Diceros bicornis minor: one gene and its partner. The protein of the gene in region 1 interacts with the protein of each later gene in a pairwise test. Links are inferred from orthologs where the notes say so. Each region holds a gene or a part of one and is shown on either strand. Other genes may lie near its edges. The genes, in order: RFESD and HBQ1.

Region 1 (13,328 bases):
AGTCTCTTCTATTCTAAAACACCCTCCCTGACCTTTTTAAACAAGATATTGTGTTTTTGAAGAGACCAAGCTAGTTGTCTTGCAAAATATCTCACATTCTGAATTTTTCTGAATATTTCCTCATGGTATCTTCTAATTTATTCTTCTCTTCCCAACTAGGTTTCTTTACAGCTGTACCTCTCAGAGCCTTCAATATGTTATCGTGCAAGATGACTCTTCATGTGGACACCTTTTACGAGCCTCTGCCCTTTTCATAATAACCCTTTCTTTGGGAATTGCCCCCACTTCCAACATCCTCAGGCCTCTAGCAGTCACATATGGGCTTTGTCACTGCACCTTCAGGGCCAGTTCCTTAGAATCACCTCCTTGAAGACTAGTGCAGATATGACAAGTTGTTAAAGAAATCTGGACTGATCTAAGAGAGCAGAAGACTAGGAAAATCAGGATAAAATACTCAGTGTTTTTAGGGTGAGTTTGAAAGTGATACACTTATTGTACTTGTAGACATTGGTGATGCCTACACCTTGAGGGAACAGGTAAGAGAAATGCATTGAGTTAGGGCCAAGAGAAGTCACAACCAAGATGACACACACTAAAGCAGAGCCAGTAACTGGACAATATCAGAGCAAGTACAGGTCTGGCTTAGATGTTGATCTAATGGAAGGTTATCTCCCGTGAGGATCATCCAACTAAAGGAAAATTTGTTTTTGCACAGTGCGTGCTTTAGGCAGACCCAGAAAAAAAGTCTGGGCTAGAAAGCAAGGAGAAAGTAAAAGGAAGAAAGGAAGGCACTCAGTTTTGGCACACACATATTCCACCACGGAAAACCTGGAACATTCCAGACCTGAGGAAAGGCAGTGTCTTGAAGAGCATGCAGCAGAGGCATTGTTGCTCCCAAAGACCTCAAGAAACCAGATTCAGGAGCATCAACAGCAGAGTCAGAAATGGGACACCGGTGATACCCCACGTGAAGTGAAGGTGAAAGGACTGGGAAATCATCCCTGGACGCAACTGCATGAACCTAATCAAGGCGAGAAGTCAGCTACTGTGTTCAAGACTTAAAATGCTGCTCACAAGAGCTATGGAGACCTTGACACCAGACAGAGCCCACCGTCAACACAGCACACACATGTCAGAAACACCAGGCTCAGCGGAGTGTGAGATGGGAACACATATCCCTTACCCTGTGGGTCTCATGTGAAGGGACTTCAATTAGACCAACACTCCCTGACTCTCTCCCCTGTTGGGGTGAGAGGGGCCCAACTACAAACAAAACAAACCTTTTCCATATCTGTGTTCTAAACCAACGTTTAGGTAGAAATTGAGGTTCAGACATTAAATCCTCTTGCAAGTTAAAGCCCAAAGATAACAAAATCCAAATAATCAAAGTTCAAAAATCAAAATTTCCTGCCTTGTGTGAAAAAGTTAAAGACTTCCTCCATTGCTGATTCCACGCAGTCTCTGCTGGAGAGTTCTCTGAGGCATCGCCAGCTGCACCCTCTCTCTCCCTAGAACAGGGCATTCCTTTAGGACCTCTGAGGTTCTATTTGTTCAACTCCCATTTTATGATGAGCCTCACTCTTTTCAAGAGTTCAAAGTGTTCACAGGAAGCAGAACCTTATTGCAGCACTGGCCACTCACTTACCTACCAAAGTTAGGAAACTAACCACTCCTTACCCCTAGGGCAAGGGCCAAGCAAAATTGTACATATTCCCAGAACCCAGTACTTGGTGTCGCCAAAGACTCTCTAAAATAAGCGCAGGATCTGAGAGAAGGGGAGACCTTGGTCTCAGCTTCCCCAGGGTGGCTGTCAGTTGGTCAGTGCAGGAGGTCCAAGTCTACAAGCTGTGAAGGTAAACTCAATTGGGAGAAGTCTTTTCATAAGAGGTTAATATGGGCAACATGTTTAACAAATCTGGGGGCGGAGGAAGATCCATCTATGCATTTATCTGAGACAGAGGCAAGTTTAGAAATTTGCAAAGGTAGAAGCCCCAGTCTCCAAGTGTCTTTCTCTTCTTACAGATTAAAAATCTCTTCATTGCCATTTCCACTCTGAGCCCTCGTCCTTAACTGAGCAGAGTCTCTATCTCATGCCATGGAGCTCTCCTGGAGCGTGTGTTTTCCGCCCTGTGCCTCAGTGGCTGTTTTCAGTGACTTTGGCTAAGCAATCTGCCTCCTGGTATGGTTTCTCCAGTGCCATCTTGACTCCACAGGATGGTGCGGAGTGACTGTGAGCATGCGATGTACTACACAAATCCAAGGCTAGTCCCACCATGCTTCCCTCTCCGGACCAGAATGCAAAATGGAATTTGGAGCAGCCCAGGCAGTACCATCTACCCACACCTGTCAGGGACAATTTCCAGTTAGATACTCATTGGTGCTCTGTAGCAGGGGTAGAGCTCAGCCGCCTTGCAGTTCAAATGCAGCTGAAGGTAGATCCAGGTCAGAGGTAGGGGGGAGGCTCTCTTTAAGAAGAATACAAAATAATAAATAAAAAATGAAGTATGAAAGTGAGTATTTATTTAGAATGGGCAAATGATCATGAAAAATGTAAATATAAAAAACTGAGGGGCCGGCCCAGTGGCGTAGTAGTTAGGTTCGCGAGCTCCGCAGCCCAGGGTTCGCAGGTTCGGATCCCAGGCGTGGACCTATGCACCACGCATCAAGCCGTGCTCCGGCAGCATCCCACATACAAAACTAGAGGGAGATGGGCACCGATACTAGCTCAGGGCTAATCTTCTTCAGCAAAAAGAGGAAGATTGGCAACAGATGTTAACTCAGGGCCGATCTTCCTCACACATACAAAAAAGATATAATATCAAAAATTCATTAATTAATTGCCAGACATACTTCTATAATACTTTTTATCTACAATTTTTGTCTACCTACTGTTTAGTCATCCTTTCATGCGGTAACAATTTTATGATAATATTCAGTACTAAGAGAACAGAAAGATAACTCAATCTTTCCTACAGCATAATCATTTTTTAATTGACAGGAACCATAAAACAAGCTGTTTTTAGTCCTAGTATAGGTTTATATACTTACAGACACAGGAATTCTGATAAATTCTGTTTCATATGATTCCCGTCAAGAAAGATATATGATGGATGTATAGTTTACGTGCTGTATTATTGAGCATATTCCATGTGTACTGTCAATGAGAACAGAATCCTGTGCTTACAATTTTACCAAAAGTCTGATGGTAGACAGGATTTCCCACAGATTAGTTTCTGGCTCTGTCTGTTCAAATCTCGTTTCTCCTCCAGGACTCCCATACTTCTTGTGCCAGACACCACAGCCCATGCTCACATTTTGATAGAACTCTGGCCTGCGTGTCAGCATATGAGGAGAGTCATCATAGTGGGCGGTGGGAGTATTTTTGGAAGCTGTTTCTACACTGGAACAGCCAGCAAAATTTAACTATACACATACAAATATATGCCACTAAACCCATACTAAATATATTTCTAACTCAACTACCCCTTAGCCAAATGTCCAAAATGCTTGTGTGACAGAAGGAAAGGAGACAATGGCCTTAATCCATTGAAGTTAAATCATCTTACTTTTACACATTTTATAAAAACATATGACCACTATTCCTTTCCCTCTTCTCTTTCCTTCCCGAACCATTTAGTCCTGAAGCCAGTAGGTGAGACAGAGCAGGGTGACAGAGCCCAAGGGGAGTAAATGGTAACGTTGTGGTGCAGAGAGTCTAGCTCAATCCGACTGAGAAGCAAATAGGGGGGCACCCCTACCGGGGCTCTGAGTCCAATCTCTGTGACACTACTACCAAAGATGCATAACCTGAATCTAACCATGAGGAAATGTCAGACAAACCTCAAGGGAGGCACATTCTACAAAATAAATGGCCTATAATCTTAAAAAAATATCAGTGTCATGAATGTTAAGAAAAGATTGAGGAACTGTCCCAGACAAGGAAGCTAAAGAGACGTGACAACTAAATGCAACTTGATTCTGAACTGGATTTCAGGATTAGATGGTAGAAATACCTCACTGTTAACTTCCTGATTTGGGGATTGTATTATGGTTACTTAGAAGAATGTCCTTGTTTTCAGAAAATACACACTAAAGCATCAGGGGCTGACAGCGCATCAGATTGGCAACATATTCTCAAATGGTTGTTGGGGGATAGTTTCCTGTACTACTCTCCTGTAATGTTGTGTGTTTCCAAATTACATTAAAAGGATATAAAGGATGACCATGTGAACACATTACCAAGGTCCCTCAGGACCTTGGAAAGGGCCCATGCGTGGGAGGGGAACTGAAACTTAAGTTTCATTAATTTCACTGCAGCAAATATTACCCTACCCAGTACTGTCTGAAAGGCCAATGTACCAAAAGACCTTTTTCCTATAATTTAGTTCTTGCCTTAGCTATGCCTGCTTTCCAAGGTCTTTGTGGCCTCCCTACCTCTGCTGAGATCCAATGTGGTAGAAGGAACATGTTCTGAACATTGTTCAAGGTCAAGGAGCCTGCCCCTGAGGTCCACATCACCTAAAGCCCTCTGTGCTGCCTTTGCTGGGCCCACATAGTTCCGTGCATATTTGCTAAGCCTGGCTTGGTACTAATGGCCAGTGTCTTGCTTGAGGCTCAGTTCAGACTACCTCGTGTTCACCGACCTCACCCCCTTCCCCATCCCCTACTTAAGGTCAGCTTGTGTATCATTTACTTAACACCAGGGACTTAAAGTTCTACCTGGAAGATAAAAATCAGGAGTGAGCAAAATCTCCTCTTAAAATCTCCAACCTTCACTCCCTTTTTTTGATAAGTTCAGCTGAGCCCCTTGTTTTCCTTTCTACAGATCTGTGTGCCTAAAGAGAGGGTACAGTCTGGTTCATCTTCTCAAGAGGACAGCTCTAAGGGAGAAGACAGCAGTTTGGGTACATAAATTTAATTCAGGAGACTGTTAGCATGTCCATTTGGCTGTACACTTAAGCCACCCCAATCTAGAGTTTTATCATTTAAATAAAGCTTACACTTTGATCTCTTCCTGTATTTCTCAGTTGGTTCCAAACTCAGGCAGGAAAGAAAGGTGTTATTTATTAGGTCCTCTCAAAGTCCAACACAAATAAAAGATGATGGCACCTTCTAGAGTGGTGACAACAGATAAGGAAAGAAGCAGAGTTAGAACTGACAAGTCTCAGTGCTCGATTAGGTATGGGGGGATATCACAGGGGTCCCTAAAACCACATCACGTCCAGGGATTCACTAGAAAGACTCATGTGACTCATTATCTAGTTCTTCTCATGCTAAGATTATTACAGCAATGTTGTAAGAATACACAGTTGGATCATAAGGAAAAAGGATAGACGTGGATACGGAAGAATCCACGTGCAGGCGTCCTTATGCTCTCTCCCTCTCAGGAGGGGTCACAAAGAGCTCACTCTTCCTCCAGCAACGAAGATGCAGAAGCATGCGTGCAATGTTTCCACTGAGGGAAGCTGTTAGAGACTCAGCACCCGAGGTTTTTATGGGGGGCTGCTCAGGTAGGCACCTCTACCTAGCAATGTACCAAAGTTCCAGACTGCTGGAAGGAAAGCAAGTTGTGGTCACCATAAACCATACTGTTTGTACAAACAGTTTAGGCACAGTGAGTCACTCTTATTATTTAGCAAAAGTCTTAAATCAATGTAGGACTGTTTACCAATCAAGTTCCCAGATGCCAGCCAAGGGCCCACCTCGCAAGCAGAGCTTTTTAAGGATGGCAGTCTCAGGTTAGCTATGTTAACTCTTTTCTGCACAGGAAGAGTGAAGAAAAGGGAGACATAAGTATGGCGACGGCAGTGTTGTCACCTATGGAGATGGAGGGGACAAAGGAAATATAAGTTTATGGGAAAAATTTAATATTTCAATTTTGAACACATAAAATTGGAGATAGCTATGAGATAGGTTCAACTATGCCATGTTGCAATCATAAACAACCTTAAAATTTCATCTAGAATGTCAACTGTTGTGACAGAAAAAGAGACGACTAGAGAGGTCTCATATCAGCTCTTCTACGTTTCCATCTAGCAGTGACACACCACGTTTTCACCCACAGCCCACCGGCAAAAACTAGTCACATGGCCTCAACCAACTGTAAGTGGGGCTGGGAAATGTGGGGTGGTAGATGGGGTGTTTGGTGAACACCACTGTTCCTGTCACAATATCCAGGTGGGAAGGTCACATGGGTATCCAGAACAAACGAATGTTCTGGAGACTTCCATTTAGGAGTCATAAACAGATAGACGGTATTTAAAGCCAACCTCACTTTCACGTGATCTGAATCCCAATGGCCTCATAAGGGCAATGTCATCACCATTTTCTGGTTTGAAGCAGTAGGAAATCCAGATTGGTGGATACTCTTCAAACCTCCCTGTAGTGAAACTAGCAGCACATGGTCTTCCTGAGCTCACAAGACAGACTTTGGTTTAGGATTGAGGGCAGGTTTTGAAGCTCTCTGAGGGGAAGGGCTTGGTCCCAGAAAAGGCTGTCTAGAAACAGCCTGACGCTCAGAGCAGAGGAGAGGGGCTCACAAAGGTGAGAAGGGACATTTGAAACTGTTTATGGATAGATATTGATGGGCAAGTTCACCGAGGGAAGGATGGAGTTTTCAGTGGTAGGTAACAAAAATCATGCCAGGGCTACCACTAGGTGTCACTAGCAGGAAAGGAAAGGATGAAAGAACAAATAGAGGAAGGAACAGAGGAAGATGCAAACTGGTTCCAAGGAGACAGGAGGTAGAAAGCGCCCCCAAATGGCCTCAGGTAGAACACTGTAGGAGCGGTGTCCACACTGGTTGGAACTGTTCTATTGCACAAAAAAGGAAAAAGAAAAAAGTAAAGCGACAGTAGCAATCATGAATTTTATTCTGAACTGTATGACTTTCAAATGAACTTTACGGGTTCCTGAGGTAGCTCATGCACGTGCCTGTGCCTGCGCAGGTGTGTGCATGCATTTGTCAGTGTGCATCTAGGGAGTGGAGAGAGGTAGTTTATTCTGCCCCACCACCACTAAAGTTTTCCAAGCATTTCATATGATTACATGACTAACCACATTAATACTTTAGGTAGAGATAAAAGAAAGTTTCCATTTCTCTCTCATTCTTCTTGTGTATGCATACATGCATATCCGAGGTCTTCAGTTTATTCAAAATCAGATTTAAGGTCAGTGGATCTAAGATGTGTCTTATTTCAACGCCCAAATTATACCAAAGCAAAAAAGAAGGACTTTTCATTAGAAATGGCAAACTTTATTTGGTTCTTCAATGACACAAGCTGAGGACTGCCAACACCCCACATGTGCCAATAAAATAATTTGGGATGGCTAACAGATCATGTAAATTATAATAAATCCACATATATTTTATTATCACTTTGCTAAAGCGTTGCTTTAGTTTGTGCTTGGATCAAATGGCCAAAAAGGAAATTATCCCATAAAATATTACTATCATCCCAAAACTATACTGAACAGAATAGAAATCAGAAGAAACTGGCATTGGAGGCAAATCCATTATTCTGGGCTTCTCAATCTTTAACATGTTGAGACTCATAGGAAAAAATGGCATTTATATGGCATACTGGGGTAAACGGACAAGGCTCCTGGGTTTCAGCTGCCCCGGGCCCACTGGGCCACTCTAGAATCTGAGATCAGTATGTCAGCATTTAAATATAGATTGTGGCTTTCAACCTTGAAGTCACACTGGAATCACTTAGGAAGTTAGAAAAAATGCATATTGATTCCCCCCCACTCACCCCGAGGTTTTTATTTCACTGGGCTGGGCATCAAGACTTTTTAATACTCCCAGGTGAATATAAGGTGCAGCCAGAGTTAAGAACCACTGGATTAGAAGATAGTTAAGGAAACCAAAAAACCTATCAGACTCATCTAGCTTCCAGCTCTGAACACAAGTATGGGGGGGGTCTTTTTTTTTTTTTTTTTAATTCGGAGAAGTATAAAGAGAAAAAACAAAGTTGCAAAGTTCAAAAAATGAAAGTGAAAACCCTTCATCTCCCTCAAAACAAACACTGTTAAGTTTTCTTTGTTTTTTAAGAAAAAGCTTATATTCATACCTACATATTTGTATCTCGAGATGTAATTTTTATTTACACTAAAGACAGCACACTACACATAGTATTCCATAAGTTTGCTTTTTAACATTCATTACATCATGAAATCTGCTCTTTGAGTGCATGGCTACAAAGTAATTCACATGTCCACACTGTATTTTATTTAACCATTCCCCTGCTGATGATCACTTTAGCTTTTCTCATTCTTTTGTTGCAATAGACATCTTTAAACACGGATTATATGCATCGTGATGAACTTTTGCAAATACTTTGCAAATTCCTATTTAGCTCAATTCCTAGAAGTGAGATCGCTGGGAGCATTTGAAATTTGGATAAATGTGGTGTGATCAACAAACATTTACAAATAAATTGATACCACCTACGTTTGCCAAACACACGATTAAGACTGTCACTTCGGAAGTCCTGGCAGAACGTGGTTGGTCAGCGGTCGCTGTCAGGTGGGGTCCTCAGCCTGCAGGGCCGCAGCGGCGGTCTCCGGGGGCGGCGCTCTAGGGTCACGTGGGCGGCTGCGCCCCGCCCCCCGGAGGCTCGGCGCCGCGGCCGGCGCGCCAACTCGCGCAGTAGCGTCACGCGCGGTCCGCAGCCGACCGGTCTCGCGGAGGCGGAGCGAGGGACTTGAGGAAGGTACGTTCTGTTCTCGCCGCGGGGTTGGGCGGCTGGCGCGGGGCGGGGCTCGCGGCGCCGCTGCTTCCGGCCGGGCGGCAGGCCCGGCCTCGGGCTTCCGGCGGCGGCGTTTTGGAGCGGTGGCTTTTGCTCCCGGCCTCGGTCCCGCGTTCCTTAATCGTTACTCCGCGGGGCAGGCTTCCGCCCAGTCACATGCGGCCCACCGGGCTCGTTCACCTTGGAGCGTGGGCCGCACCCTGACCTGCCGCCTCGGTGGGGCAGCCGGGCCTTCTCGGCCAGCGGTGCGGGCGTCTGCGCGCTCTGGGGCGTAAAAACCGCCCCGGTTGCTGCGGCCGCGCCGGCCCCGCTGCGCGTCTCCAGAGGTCCGCACAGCCGCGCTCACACGTGAGGTTCTCGAGTGCCGCTCCGCATAACGACCGCAGACCGTCTTCACTAAAACGTTACGTACGGCTTGAAGTCACGTCGGAGCTGGAAGGACCGCAGAGATGACAGCTAACGGGCCTGGAGCCGTCGCCGCGGTCGCGCCCGCTGCGAACGCTCGACGTGGAGGCGGCGTCTGCTCCTCCCCGCAGCGCCGTGCCGCGGCCTTCCTCGCGGGCGCGCACCCCGCCGCACAGCCCGGTTCAGCGTCCTGCCCCCAATCCTGCCCACCCGCGAGTCACACCCGGCTGAGCCCACCTGCTGGTCACAGGCTCTTAAGATCGCCCGCGATGGTAGCGGATTCCAGAGCGGCTACATGACTTTATTACCTTATTAGGGAGGTATTCCGTTTTGAACATTTGTTGACGCGACTCTTGCACATCAGCATTCCTAAATTTAAAAAAGTTGAGGACCATCATCTTTGGTGATATATATGGTGATTATCTATATATAGTGATACACATATACGCACGCACACATATACATGTGTACACACAGATGTCTTCATTTTGCCAAATGTCAAGATAGTCTACTGGCAGACCACGTGTTTTTATAAATCCGTGGCTGCTGCTTAGATGCAGTGTTAAGATTTATGTATCAGTGTCCGCAAAACTTAGGCTCATAAGATCTGGGTTTGTATCGTGACTGCTACTTTGCAGTTTGGGCAAGCTTTTGTTAAAGAGGGTCCTTTACTTAGTTTTCTCATCAGGAAAATAGGTATAATCTTTACCCATTGGCCGTTTTGTGAGGATTAATGAACTCATATATGCAAAAACCCCAAGGAGTGGCACTCACTGAAGGATAGCTAGTTTTAGCTATTATTATTCTGCCATCCAAAGAGATACAAAACAACTGTCTAAGGCATTTCTCTTCTCTGAACCTGAAAGCAAGGATGTCACCCTGGAGTTATGCATTCTGATAATGTGTACGCCAAGTCCCCAGACTTAGTGAAAGCACCTTAGTCAGTGCTCAGGAGGAGTAACAAGTTCCTGTCATTTCGTGTCTCTTTTCTCCCCAGTGTCTTATGGAAACTTATGTTTTTTTAAAAATTCAAGCTGAATGGATTCCCTATGCAGGAAAGGTGTCTTAATAGAGACTGAGAATCCATTTAGCTAATTTGTAATTTTATGTGGTGTTTGCACTTTTAAAAATCTAATTTTAGGCACAGGCCAAAAAATATTTCTTGAAGAGAACTGGGGAACAAAGCAGCTAAATTTTTCAGAAGGAAGTTTTCTTATTCTAGCCCGTAAACTGGGTAAGCCATTTAATTTTTCACTTTGTTTTTATTTAGTTAAGATTCTCCTATCTTCAAGTCCACTCAAAATAGAGATATGTGTGGGAGCATATGAATAGTGCATCAAAGTAACAGTAATTAAGGTGAACACAGTGGCTCTTATTCTTGTCTAAATGGACGGTGATGTTCACAACATTTAATTAAGAATAATAAGGGTGTTAATTTTAAATAGTCACAAGATATCATAAATAAATAGAACCACTTATGATTCATGAAGGGAACAATTATTTGAAGGATAATACTTTCCTAAGCAAAATGCAAGACTGTAATCATACTTCTCTGAAACCCTTATCGTTTAGCCCCAGCTTTCTCTGCTTATTTCTTATCAGCCCCTGCGAAGTTCACTACAGTTTTCCTCGGTTGGGCAAAGACTGTATGTTCCAAGCAACTGACTCTTGAGAGAGGATTGTTTTGGGGTCTCATTTATTTGGGAGTCAAGGAGAACTTAACTTTTGATGCTACTCCACATGTCATCTATTTTGTTACTTGCTTGATACTAGTATTTCTTTTCTAGTTTTTGCCTGGAAAAAGAAGAGAACTATTCATTTATTTCCCCCTCTAGTGCCAAGTTTTGAAATAAGCTGTACAAAATTCTCAAATAGTCCATTCATGATCTATGCACAGGCACATTCTCTGAGGATACAAAGTGCCATTTTTATCTTCTTTTTCTTGGATTTTGGATCATTTGCTACATAAACATAAAGTAGGATACAACTTAAATATTGAAAAAGAATAATTTTAAATATAAGAATTAATGTAATATTTTGAGATATTTAAGAAATTTTGTGTTTACTCTCCCCTTTTCTTTATAAATTTACCCAATATATATGTATCCATGAATAATATATGGTTTGGGTTTGCCTTTTTTTGCATTGGTAAAAATGGAAGCATACTCTGAATTTTTAATTTTTTTTCATTTAAAGTTACATTTTTAAAATTAATCCAAATTGATGTAGCTATACGTTTTTCACTGCTACACAGCATTCCATTGCATGAATATAAAAATTATCCATTCTACTGTTGATGGATTTTGAGTTGTTTCCTGTCTTTTGCTGATATAACCATTCCTGTGCATGTCTCCTCGTGTACCTGTGTACATTTCTCTGGAATATACCTAAAGTGGGATTATTGGGTCTTGAATATGTTCAGCTTTACTGGGTAGTGCCAAACTGTGCTAGCACTAATTGATGTCATCACCATCAGTGCTCCATATCCTCGCCAATACGTGGTATAATTTTTTGCCAGTTTGTTGGATAGAAAATAGTATCCCTTTTGTGCCTTTGCTTTCCATTTCTTTTACATTTTCCTACTAATGAATCTGAGCATCTTTACATGTGATTACTGGCCATTCAGATTTCCTCATCTGTGAAATGTTTGTGTCTTTTGCCCATTTTTCTTTGGTTATTTGGCATTTTCTTACTGGTTTATAGGAGTTCTTCATATATCTGAATCTTAATCTTTTGTTGGTTATATATGTTGCAAAGTCCATATTTCTTTCATTTCTTTTTCTTCAGCCTATTTCCCCCCTCTTTCAGTTCATCTGTCTGTCCCCATTTTTCTTATCATTATTGCCCCTCTGTCTGTTCTGTCACAAAATGTGATAAAGGCTGCACATCCAACACATGAAGGTAAATACTACCCTCTGAGCAATTTGTGTACTTTGAGTACCTGCCAAAATCGAGTAAAACCAGATAACTGTTGAGAGATGTAATCATCCAGCCTCCTGTCAGCCATGACTAATCCAGAAAATCTTGGCCATGGTCTTCTTTGCCTTTTCTTAAAAACACTATATTTCTGCTTTTTTTATTGTAAAATAATTTTTTTAAATAGCATATGTGGATTTTTTCCATTTTTAAAAAAAGTAGGTAAGTCGGAGCAAGGGTTAACAGTGCAAACTTAAGAGTACAAATTTGACATCTCTGTAATTTCCTAAGCTTGATTTGTATAATGCTTTCATTTATATGTTGAATTCAAAGCTCCTGCCTCTTCCTGTCAGCACACATGCCCACACACAAACATCCCTCATCCTACACCTCAGTTTCGGAGTCCAGGCTTATGTAATATCTAATAACTATCTTCCTTATGGCTCAGAGGTACCCTTCTCAAAATAGTGGTCTATAAATTTTTTCTTTCTAAAGCTCACTCCTAACATATAGAGATTTTACTTCTAAATAATAATTTCTCTGTTTTACAAACTTACTTTTTAAATGAGCCACGCTCTTTTCCTCCTAACACTTTCCAACTTCCAGTCAGTCATACAGGATTAAATAAATATTTATAAAAATTTTATATTTAAAATATAAAAAAAGAACCTGTCAGAAGGCCTGAACCCTCTTGGCACTGCCATGTAACAAATTTTCCATCTTGTTGGGAGGGGATTGTGTCTAAGCTACGTACATCAAGGTCCAAGGGCCCTTTTAAAGAAATTGAATATATGTGTTTGTATGTAAAATGTTAACCTAAGACAAGTGAAATCAAAATGGCAGGTTCCTGTTGATCTCTCGTTCATCATTCTATATAATCATTCTGTGTGACTTCCTATGAAATATGACAATATTACTGTATTGAAGAGGATGTAGATTAGGAAGGATCATCTTCCTAAGATTAGAGTATTTATTTGAAGCTGACACGTGATTTATAATTTCGTTAAATATCTTAAATTGTAGACAAGTGTATGTGTGTTAAATATGGTAAGCATTCCATGGCAAACTTGCTAATGTTTAACAGCATCTGGGTCTCTACAACTAACATGGGCTGTCACTTTCATTCACTTCCTTTCCTTTTCCAAATGTAATTCCTTATCTTGTATAAGGCAGAGCTGGAAACCTCTCAAGTTATCTGGAACTTTCTGTCACTTCCCACTCTGATGAAATATCCATAAAATGATGAAATTGTTA
Region 2 (11,146 bases), on another chromosome or scaffold:
CTTTGCGGACAAGGGAACAGAAGACGGCAGAGGGACCCTGAGACCTCTCCAAACTCTGATGAGGACGGTTCCGGGACCGTCGGCGCCGAAGTCCGAAGGGCGATGCTGGAGACTAAGCCCTGTCGGTGGTTCGGCCGAACGCCGCGACCCCGCGGTGCGTGCCCGCCCGTTACCATGTGCTGCCCGGGAGCACCTGCCCACCACTGAGGGTAGGAGGGCTTGGAGGACTTCACCCCACGTTATCTCCTTCGCCCTCGTTGTCTACATGGACAGTTTACAGCTGTCGGTCCTGGGCAAAGTTTGGTGCCAAAGCGGCTTGTTTCACTTTGGAAAAGACTGTGCGTCCCTCCCGGACCCGCAACTAGATGTCTTGGAAGCTACCCGCGCCCCGGCCAAGCGCGAGTGCACAGTGTGTTTGCGTGGCTTGGGAACCTGTGGGCTCCCGGAACCACCGGAGCGGGAATAGAGGGGCGGTGGGGAGCTGGCTCCCGGACTGAGAGGGGCGGAGGGAGTCCTGCCCGCCCCCGCTGACTCCCGCAAGCGCTGTCCCGGCCTTCACCTCCCGGCTCCGCGCCAGCCAATGAGCGCGGCCCGGGCGGGCGTGCCCCGCGCGCCGCGAAGATAAAGCCCCGCGCTCTGCCCACCTCCCACACTTCTGGTCCCGACACAGACTCGGAACTACCACCATGGTGCTGTCTCCCACCGACAAGACCAACGTGAAGACCGCCTGGGGTCACGTTGGTGGCCACGCTGGCGAGTATGGCGCAGAGGCCCTAGAGAGGTGAGGACCCTTCTTTCCCCGGCCGGGACCCCAGGGCCCAACACCCGCCCCAGGAGCCTGCCAATAACACCCCCATGGGTTCCGACCTGGCTGGCGCAAAGACCCCCAAGATCTCAGGGTCAGACCGCGGAGTCGCGGGGAGAGCCTGGCCGGCGCCTCCTTCCGAATCCGAGGTTCAGGACCCTCCCCCGGACTCCCCCACCCCCCACCCCCACCCCCAGGCTCACCCTCCTTTCCCCGCAGGATGTTCCTGAGCTTCCCCACCACCAAGACCTACTTCCCCCACTTCGACCTGAGCCACGGCTCCGCCCAGGTCAAGGCCCACGGCAAGAAGGTGGGCGATGCGCTGACCCAGGCCGTGGGACACCTGGACGACCTGCCCGGCGCCTTGTCGGCTCTGAGCGACCTGCACGCCTACAAGCTGCGTGTGGACCCCGTCAACTTCAAGGTGAGCCCGCGGGCCGGGCCGGGCCGAGCGGGAGAGACCTGGGATGGAGGGCGCAGCGGGACCCCCTAGAGGGCAGAGAATCCCGTGGGTCCCAGAAGGTGGAGCTCGGGCGCCCCCGCCCCGACGCCCCTGATAGCTCCTCTCTCCGCAGCTCCTGAGCCACTGCCTGCTAGTGACCCTGGCCCTCCACAACCCCCAAGATTTCACCCCTGCCGTCCACGCCTCCCTGGACAAGTTCTTGAGCAATGTGAGCACCGTGCTGACCTCCAAATACCGTTAAGCTGGAGCCACGGCCATCCCTGCCCCCAGCCCGGGGCCCTTTGCGCTCAGGGCGGGCTCTTCCTGATCTTTGAATAAAGTCTGAGTGGGCTGCAGCCTGTGTGCGCCTGGTTCTCTGTGTCCGCGAACTGCCAGGGGTGGAGTGGTCTCCTTGCCTCGGACCAAGGACCTCCCAGCAGCGGGAAGGGGAGGGCGGAGGGAGTGCAGCTATGGCGGATGCTTCAGGGAATGCTCTGAACCGTGCTCCTGTCCTGGGTTCCTCTCTGGGTTGGGAAGTGGGGACTTGTTAGGTCGCCACCCTCTTTTGAAGTCTCGCTGACTGATGCCTGTTAAACATACAATCTAGATCAAAACAAACCACAAACAGGCTGCTCCTGTGCAAATGCAGGCGCCGGACAAGTCCTAGGAGATTCCACCTCCTTCCTATCAGAGGGAAGGTGGCTTGGAAGAGGCGTCGCAGCCCCGCGCACCCTTCCTGGGTCACAGGAACCCTCTGTGGTGGGTGGCCAGGACAGTCGGGGAGGAAGAGGGCAAGGCCAGCTGCAGCTGTCAGGGGCACTTGGGGAAGCGCTTAGCGGAGCACCCGCCTCCCTTTTTACTGCAGGTCACGACCACAGCAATAGCTCACAGCGTGCCCAGCCCTGCGTCCCCCAGCTAATTGTCTCCCCCATTCTCTAGCTGGAGGCTCCTGGGGTCTCCCAGCGGTTCTGCCCCAGGCTGTGAGCCGCTTTCAGAAAGGCCCCAGTCCCGGGTGCTGAAGCCCTGGACTCCATGCTGGAATTTCCCACACCCCATCCGGCTGTGCAGCCGCCTTAGAGACACCATCAGCGCCTCCAGCCCAGCCCAGATCTCCAGGGCAACACATAGCGCTAGATAAAAGTTTGGGGAGGGTGGCGAGCTCCCTGCACACCACTTTCCTTCTGGACATGGGCCTCCCTGAACAGCCGGAGATGCTTCCCCCTCTCTACCACGCACTCTTCCTCTGCCCCACAGCCCAACACATTTTTATTTAAACATAGAAAAACACTTAAGAAATAAACTAGGGGGCCACCCCATGGCTTAGCAGTTAGTGCTCGAGCTCTGCTACTGGCAGCCAGGGTTCGGATCCTGGGCGCACACCGACGCACCACTTGTCCGGCCATGCTGAGGGGGCGTCCCACATACAACAACTAGAAGGATGTGCAACTATGACATACAACTATCTAGTGGGGCTTTGGGGAGAAAAAGGGAAAAAAAGGAGGAGGATTGGCAATAGATATTAGCTTAGAGCTGGTCTTCCTCAGCCAAAAGAGGAGGATTGGCATGGATGTTAGCTCAGGGCTGATCTTCCTCACCAAAAAAAAAAAAAAGAAAGAAATAAACTAAAATCCACTCATTCTTTCACACATACACACCCTTTTTGTGTTATTCAAAGAAGGGAGAGAGACTCCCTATGCCCTGTCCCCACTCCTGCAGAAGAAGCCCAAGTTAACAGTGTGGGCCTGAGCCTGCTGGCTCCTATTCTGTGCTGGGGGGACACAGCTACAGCTACAACTACTCTTTTTGTGTGTGTGAAAAATATCATGATATTTGTCAAAAATACCATCATGAGGGGCCATCCCAGTGGCGTAGTGGTTAAGTTTGCACACTCTGCTTCAGCAGCCCAGGGCTTGCAGGTTCAGATCCCAGGCGTGGACCCACACACTGCTCTTCAGGCCACGCTGTGGCAGCGTCCCACATATAAAATAGAGGAAGATTGGTATAGATATTAGCTCAGGGACAATCTTCCTCACACACACACAAACACAAAAACCATCATAAGAAGGGAAGAGGTGGGGGGAGGGCAGAGGGGTGGGGAACACATATGTATGGTGATGGATAAAAACTAAACTATTGGTGGTGAGCTCGATGCAGTCTATACAGGGACTGAAGTATAATGATGTACACCTGAAATTTACACAATGTTATAAACCAATGTGACCTCAATAAAATAATTTTTTAAAATACCACCATACCGTAGATAATTGTCTGCAACCCACTCTTCTCACTGAAACGTGTCTCCTCTACATTTCTTATGGCCAGTTTTATCAGCTCTGTCTCATTTCACAGATGCATTGGTCATTTCTGTATTTCTGTTAATTTTCTGTTAATGTCCTTTGTCAGTTGTTCTCCTAAGGAGCTGCATAAGGATTCCTGCTCCTTCTCACTGCTTCACCAGGAGTCCCTCCCTTCCCCCATCCTGCAGGGTCTGGCCAGCCTCATCATCCCCCCATCTCCCCACCTGCATTCTGCAGCCACAGAGGCCTTCTCTCACTCTGCTCCCCTACAAGCCTCCCCCCTACCCCACCTAATACTTATTCATCCTCCAGACTCACCTCCTCAGGGAAGCCCACCGTGATCCTCAGATAACCATGATGCCCTTGAGCGCCTCATCCACTCCCTCCGTGCTTCCTTAGGGCTTTCCACACGGTTTGTGTCCATGTATGCACTTGTGTGATAATTTGATGACTGTGTCCCTAACTAGGCTGAAAGCTTAGGTCTGGTTCAGCCAGTTGATTTATCAATTCAACCAGTAGTTAGCCCGCGATTCTTGTGTCACGCACAATTTGGGGGACTGGGGTGTCACTGTGAACCGGGACCACTTGGTCAGTGGGGGAGAATCACACAGGGGTCCCGAATAGGAGAGGCCGCCTCTGTGAGCCCCCGACCTGCGGCTGCAGCAACCACTGCCCTGGAAGGAGCCTGAGCCAGGAGCCCACCCAGCCCTGCGGATTCTGCCCCTCCATCTTTCCTCCCCGCCTGGCACTCAGTGATTTTTTGTGGATAGAAAGGGGGCTGAAAGGCAGCAGGAGGGATTTCCGGCGGGAATTCTTGAGCCCATGTGAGCAACGACCTCTTGTGCGTATCTCTCTCTGCCCCGACGACGAAGCCTTTCTTCCCTCGCGCACTCCGTTGCCCATTCATTCGGTGATTCTGCCCAAGTTAAACAGTCACGCGGGAGCGAAGACCGGTCCAGGGCGGGCGGCGGGGCTGACTCACTCCCTTCCGATCCCAAGAGAGCGCAGCCTGGTTATGGGGGCGGCGACACTCAGGGACCATGACGGTGCCACTAAGCTCTCACGGTGGAAGATCCCGCACCGACCACCCCCCGCCCCCAACCCCAACCAACCGGCCCCGTGGCAGGGGCCGAGGATATCGCCTCCGGGGGGATGGATGCAGCAGGCAGGAGGGAGGAACCTCCTGGCCGGGGACCCCGGGTCCCCCAGCCCATGGGGAGCGAAGCCCTACCGCTGCAGCCGGCGAAGACCCCGCCGCGCGCCCCCTGCCGTCCGGTCCCCGCCGCGCGCCCGGCTCTTCGCCAGCCAATGAGCGCGGCCCGGGCGGGCGTGCCCCGAGCGCCGCGAAGATAAAGCCCCGCGCTCTGCCCACCTCCCACATTTCTGGTCCTGACACAGACTCGGAACTACCACCATGGTGCTGTCTCCCACCGACAAGACCAACGTGAAGACCGCCTGGGGTCACGTTGGCGGCCACGCTGGCGAGTATGGCGCAGAGGCCCTAGAGAGGTGAGGACCCTTCTTTCCCCGGCCGGGACCCCAGGGCCCAACACCCGCCCCAGGAGCCTGCCAATAACACCCCCATGGGTTCCGACCTGGCTGGCGCAAAGACCCCCAAGATCTCAGGGTCAGACCGCGGAGTCGCGGGGAGAGCCTGGCCGGCGCCTCCTTCCGAATCCGAGGTTCAGGACCCTCCCCCGGACTCCCCCACCCCCCACCCCCACCCCCAGGCTCACCCTCCTTTCCCCGCAGGATGTTCCTGAGCTTCCCCACCACCAAGACCTACTTCCCCCACTTCGACCTGAGCCACGGCTCCGCCCAGGTCAAGGCCCACGGCAAGAAGGTGGGCGATGCGCTGACCCAGGCCGTGGGACACCTGGACGACCTGCCCGGCGCCTTGTCGGCTCTGAGCGACCTGCACGCCTACAAGCTGCGTGTGGACCCCGTCAACTTCAAGGTGAGCCCGCGGGCCGGGCCGGGCCGAGCGGGAGAGACCTGGGATGGAGGGCGCAGCGGGACCCCCTAGAGGGCAGAGAATCCCGTGGGTCCCAGAAGGTGGAGCTCGGGCGCCCCCGCCCCGACGCCCCTGATAGCTCCTCTCTCCGCAGCTCCTGAGCCACTGCCTGCTAGTGACCCTGGCCCTCCACAACCCCCAAGATTTCACCCCTGCAGTCCACGCCTCCCTGGACAAGTTCTTGAGCAATGTGAGCACCGTGCTGACCTCCAAATACCGTTAAGCTGGAGCCACGGCCATCCCTGCCCCCAGCCCGGGGCCCTTTGCGCTCAGGGCGGGCTCTTCCTGATCTTTGAATAAAGTCTGAGTGGGCTGCAGCCTGTGTGCGCCTGGTTCTCTGTGTCCGCGAACTGCCAGGGGTGGGGTGGTCTCCTTGCTTCGGACCAAGGACCTCCCAGCAGCAGACAGAGAGGGAAGGGGAGAGAGGGAGTGGAGCCAGTCGGCTGCCATTGCCTGGGGTGTGCTGCAACCCCCCATGGTCACCCTGGAGTGCTCTGCTGTGTACATTCACCCCTTCCTGCATTTCATTCCAGAGCCTTGCACATTCAACAGGGGTTTATTCAAATAATGAATTCGTTTTTCATCGTTTCATTTTATGGCATGCACACACACACACACGTGCACACGCTCGCACTGCTGGTTGGCTGGCCTCCAGCCTAGGACCTCTGAACTCTCCCAGGGCTCCTCCCAGAGTTGGGCAGTGAGGAGGACAGAGGTCAGACTCCTTCGGAGTTGCACTGAAATCCCCCCTCCCCGAGTGCCTCTCAAATACACGCACGTCTAGACGAAACTGAGAGCGAGCAGCGCAATTGCAGGTGCCAGGCCATCTCCTGGAGGCACCGCTTCCACCTGGTGCCCCTCCCAGGACGCTCATTCTGCAGACACTGACATCCTGGGGCCATCACGGGTCTGGAGGCCTGGTTTTCGGGCCCAGTGCAGCATCCACTACCCCGCCCTGAGGCTGGCACCCCTGAGACCCATGGACTCCCTCCAGTGCTGCATCGGAGAGGAGAGCCAGGGCCAGGGAGCCGGCACTCTGACATGCTTCCTCCCCCTGGAGCAGGCCCCTAGCGCCTGTGGCTTCAGAGTGACGGCTTGAGGTGTCTGGTCCTGGCAGCTGTCCAGCCCCCCACTGAAGGCAATGTCCTTTCCTCTCTGGGCCCAAAAGTCATCATTGAAAAACACGACGGGCAGGTCTCCTGCCTCAGTTTGTGATGCTTTTAGCACAGCTGGTGGCACAGCATGAGCAATCAGGAGGCAGTCTTCCTTATTTTATTACTAGGAAAAATGAAGCCCTGGGCTAAAAGTGGAAACAACCCAAGTGTCCATCAACGGATGACAGATAAACAAATGTGGCCCATCCATACAGTGGAATGGTATTCGGCCATAAAAAGCAATGAAGTATTGATACGTGCTACAACGTGGAAAGAAGCTAGACACAAAAGTCCATATATTGTCTGATTATATTTATATGAAATAACTAGAATAGGCAAATCCACAGAGACAGAAGAGCAGATTGGTGGTTGCCAGGGGCTGAGGGAACTAGACAGTGGTAATGGTTGCACAACATTGTGAATGTAATTCAAGACACTGAATTGTACACTTTAAAATGGCTAAGATGGTAAATTTTATGTTATACGAATTTTACCACAATTAAAAAAGAAAGGTGTAGAATGGTTCCTGGCATGGAATGAGCACTGCATAGGTATCAGCTGTCACTATTGGGGTACACCCGAGGCACTCGGTACATGTCCATTGTCCTAAAAGGAACACACGCTATGAGCCAGCACCTGACATTTGTTATCCATTTAACTCCCAAAACAACCTTGAGAAGAAGAAACTACCTTCATTTTAGACTATAAATGAGAAAATAGACTCAGAGAAGTGCCATAATAGACTCGGGAGGGAGGCAGAATAAGCTGACGTCCAATGCCAAAATGCGTGCTAAAATTCAGTGTTATCTAATAATAGTAATACATATTAAATATTAGTTTCCATATAGTAAACACTACAAAAATGGGGGCCTCGAGGTCCAGGGTGATTGGGAAGGTCCCAGGTCGGAGCAGACGCTCAGGCGAGCGCTCCCGGACACCTCGGGACCAGACTCTGCGACCGGAGGCGCGGCCCGGCCGCGGCGTGGCGCCCCGGAGGACCCGCCGGCCCGCCGGCGCAGGCGCCGAGCTCGCGCTCGCGGCCAGGACGCACGATGGTGCTGGCGGCGGCGGACAGGGCGGCGCTGCGCGCGCTGTGGAAGAAGCTGGGTGGCAACGTCGGCGTCTACACGACCGAGGCCCTGGAGAGGTGCGGGAAGATCCGCGTCCTCGGGCTCGCCTGCCTTTCCTCCCCAACCCGCACCCCAGACGCACCTCACTCTTTCCTCGCGCAGGATGTTCCTGAGCTTCCCCTCCACCACGACCTACTTCCTCCACCTGGACCTGAGCCCCGGCTCTGCCCAGGTCAAAGCCCACGGCCAGAAGGTGGCCGATGCGCTGACACTCGCCATGGACCACCTGGACGACCTGCCGTGCACCCTGTCGGCTCTGCGCCGCCTGCACGCGCACGAGCTGCGAGTGGACCCCACCAGCTTCCAGGTGAGCCCGCAGGCCGGGCCGGGCCCGCCGTTCCCCGCGACGACGGGGCGGGGACGCACGACCCCGGCGGGACGACCCCTTTCTCCGCAGCTTCTGGGCCACTGCCTGCTGGTGACGCTCGCCCGGCACTTCCCCGGAGACTTCAGCGCCGCCCTGCAGGCCTCGCTGGACAGGTTTCTGAGCCACGTGATCTCGGCGCTGGCCGCCGACTGTGGCTAAACCGGGGGGCGGTGGGCGCGGGACCCCCTGGCCGCCCCTCCCGCGAGTTCCAGTGTTTGAGTAAAGTCCCCGAAAGCAAGCCTGTGTGTGTGCATGTCCTCTCGGGCCCCACGGGGTGGGGTGCTGCCCCCCAGAGGAAGGGGGGATCTGGGAGACCCTGAGCCGCACACCCCCCTTGTTAGGTCCGGCACGCCCCAGGCCCATGTCCGCTGCACTGCTAGGCCGTCGAGGGGAGGTCCGGGTCGCCCCCACTCCCCGCGGCGCGAGGCGAGTTTGGGAAAGCGGGTCCTAAATCCCATACCGTAACCCCCAACCCACCCTGCCCTTGGCCGCGGCCACGTCGAGGCGCAGGCCTGCAGCTCCGGCCCCTCGGAAGTAGGGTGGCAGGTCTCAGCTGGCCAGGCCCGGACCCTCCCCCGGGCTGCTCGCTTCGGACTCCTCTCGAACCTAGGACCGCCGGGCCGGCCCCTCACCCACCTAGAGCCAACGGCCGCGTCCAGACGGCGCGGGCACGGCCTCTGAGAACATTAGGGAACGGCGCCCCCAGCGGGCGCGGACGGGGACCTGCAGGGCCCAACCTGCACAACCGTACACAGCGGCTTTGGGTATCTGGGAGGTTTGGGGTGAAAGCCCCCACTTGCCAGGCTCTGGACCTGGTGGAAGGAGGTGGGTCCTGCCCCAGCACCCAGTCCCGTAGCAGACAAGGTGGGCCAGGGCACCAGCCAGGAGCCCTGCCTACATCCCACACTTCTAAGGAGACAGAGGTCAGGGCTTCTTTCTTTTTAAAATTTTTTCCCATAAAATCAATTATGGTCTCTGCAGAAACTTCAGAAAAGAACACTCCACTTACTGCACCTTCCTGGGTATCCCAGTGGGTCCATGTTATGAGAGGTTTGGGGATTCGATCGGAGACGTAAAAGACACTTTCCACTCCAAACAAATGGACTGAAGGTATATTTTATTATATAGAGGATAGTAAAGGCGACAGTCTGCAAACTGATCCAAATAGGTCAAATATTAAGAGGGAAAAAACATCAGCCCGACTGGAAAGGGAAAACACCCACATCGGCTGAAGAGAAATGACACAAATCAACTGGAGAGAGAAACACCAGGTTGACCGAAAAGAGAACACATCAAATCACTTACTACACATCAAATCAATTATTTCACATCAAATCAGTTACTCACAGCATGCACGCCCCACTGCCGGGAGAGTCCTGTCAATAGACGCGGCTGGGCAAGGATCACACGTCCTGGGCAAGGTGTCCCCTCCACAGGTGGAACTCTCACCAGGGCTCAGTTTCCAGCAGTTTTTATATCATCAGTAATTTTTAGAGTAAGCAATTACAGAGTTTGCAGAGCAAGCATGTAGTGTTTCCATGCACAAATGGTTATCAGTGGCGTACGTGCACTGAGCCCCCTGGCTAACGTCCCAGCCCAGTAGTTGTGTACGTGCATTGTTCTCTTTGGTTATCGTCTCAGCCCGGCACAGATGGCCAGTCCATTCCAGGCTACGACGCTCCAAGAGCCTTGAAATGTTACAACTTGCAACTCTCTCTGTGGCAGAAAGGCCAGTTCCCGGGAAAAGGCCAGTTCCCACCACACAGAAAGCAGCTTTTATATTTCTTTTTGTGCTGGTGGCTGTAGGTCAATGGAGCGGCCAAACATGGCCGTACTCATGTCAAGACATATTCGGCCGTGGCCGTCTCCATTAACCATAAGACACCATACGCACAGACAATGAACTTCGTACACAAGTACATAAGGCACATCCAAGAATCTAAAATCTAATGACTACAATAATTATAAAACTATCTCACAATAAAGGACCCAGACCCCAAGGTAACCAATCAAACAACCTCTTAGAATATGAAATGTTATTAACTTGATCTTGCAAATCATGTATAGTATCAAAGATAACATTAGATAAGGTAACACTTAGGCCTAACAAACTAGCTTGTAGAAGTCCAGATCAGCCCCCATCATGGAGGGTAGCAGAAGGCAGGGTAATAGAGAAATTATTTGATATTGCGAAGTTGTTTGCTGTTTTTGAGACCAAATTTCTCGGCCATTCATAGTCCAAGTTATAGGTCCCACTGCTGTAGAGCAGTTGGTCTAACAGTGCAGGGTCAAAGGTTGTCCTATGGAGACATTAGTTGGTGTGTAGGTCTGCAGCAGACATGGAAGTGCAGCACAGCATAGCGAACACAGCAGGAATATCTATTTACGCAAAGAAACAGAATTTTTAAGAACATGATATAATTGTTTATTTCTTGGATATATAACTATGAGCGTTGTAGTGGGCCCTTGGGCCACTACTTCTGCAGCACGCGGAGCCGCATTGGGTGGATGTGTCACCCACACCTTTGTTCTAGGTTTTCATCCATCTGTAGACCTAAATCTTTGCATTTTTCTTTTAGTTAATTCACTTGGAGGTTGTCCTTGTGACACATTTGGGGTCAGGAGGGGAAGCACCAATAATTGTCCCACTCGTTCTCTAGACTCTACAGTTAGTACTGTGTCACTATCATTATATAATATAAATTTTATTTTTCCTTGATAATCTGGGTCAATAACTCCTCCCAGTACATCAATACCTTTTGTTGCCAGTCCAGAGCGTCCTTTTAACAAACCAAAGGTATTTTTGGGAAATTGTACCCCTATCCCAGTAGGGACTATAGACTGCTTCTTAGGGGGCAATTGAATAGAATGAACAGTAGATAAATCCAATCCAGCCGCTTCGGCCGTGGCAGGGAAGGCGGTTTAGCAGACTGAGTC

The links.
Region 2: the proteins of RFESD (region 1) and HBQ1 interact in binary tests that used the Homo sapiens proteins (3 or more experiments, as listed by UniProt). The two-hybrid records come from large-scale screens. The link is inferred for Diceros bicornis minor from reciprocal best matches to the Homo sapiens genes RFESD and HBQ1.

Annotation. Positions count from the first base shown.
Region 1 is NC_080740.1:21,367,476-21,380,803, forward strand, and holds the start of RFESD (Rieske domain-containing protein), read left to right. Parts: upstream 1-8,643; 5' UTR 8,644-8,717; intron 8,718-8,843; exon of another isoform or gene 8,844-9,573; intron 9,574-13,328.
Region 2 is NC_080765.1:48,124,930-48,136,075, reverse strand, and holds HBQ1 (hemoglobin subunit theta-1), read left to right. Parts: upstream 1-7,764; coding exon 7,765-7,859; intron 7,860-7,944; coding exon 7,945-8,149; intron 8,150-8,239; coding exon 8,240-8,368; 3' UTR 8,369-8,717; downstream 8,718-11,146. Other genes in the region: hemoglobin subunit alpha, read left to right, coding at 687-781, 1,025-1,229, 1,381-1,509; hemoglobin subunit alpha, read left to right, coding at 4,959-5,053, 5,297-5,501, 5,653-5,781.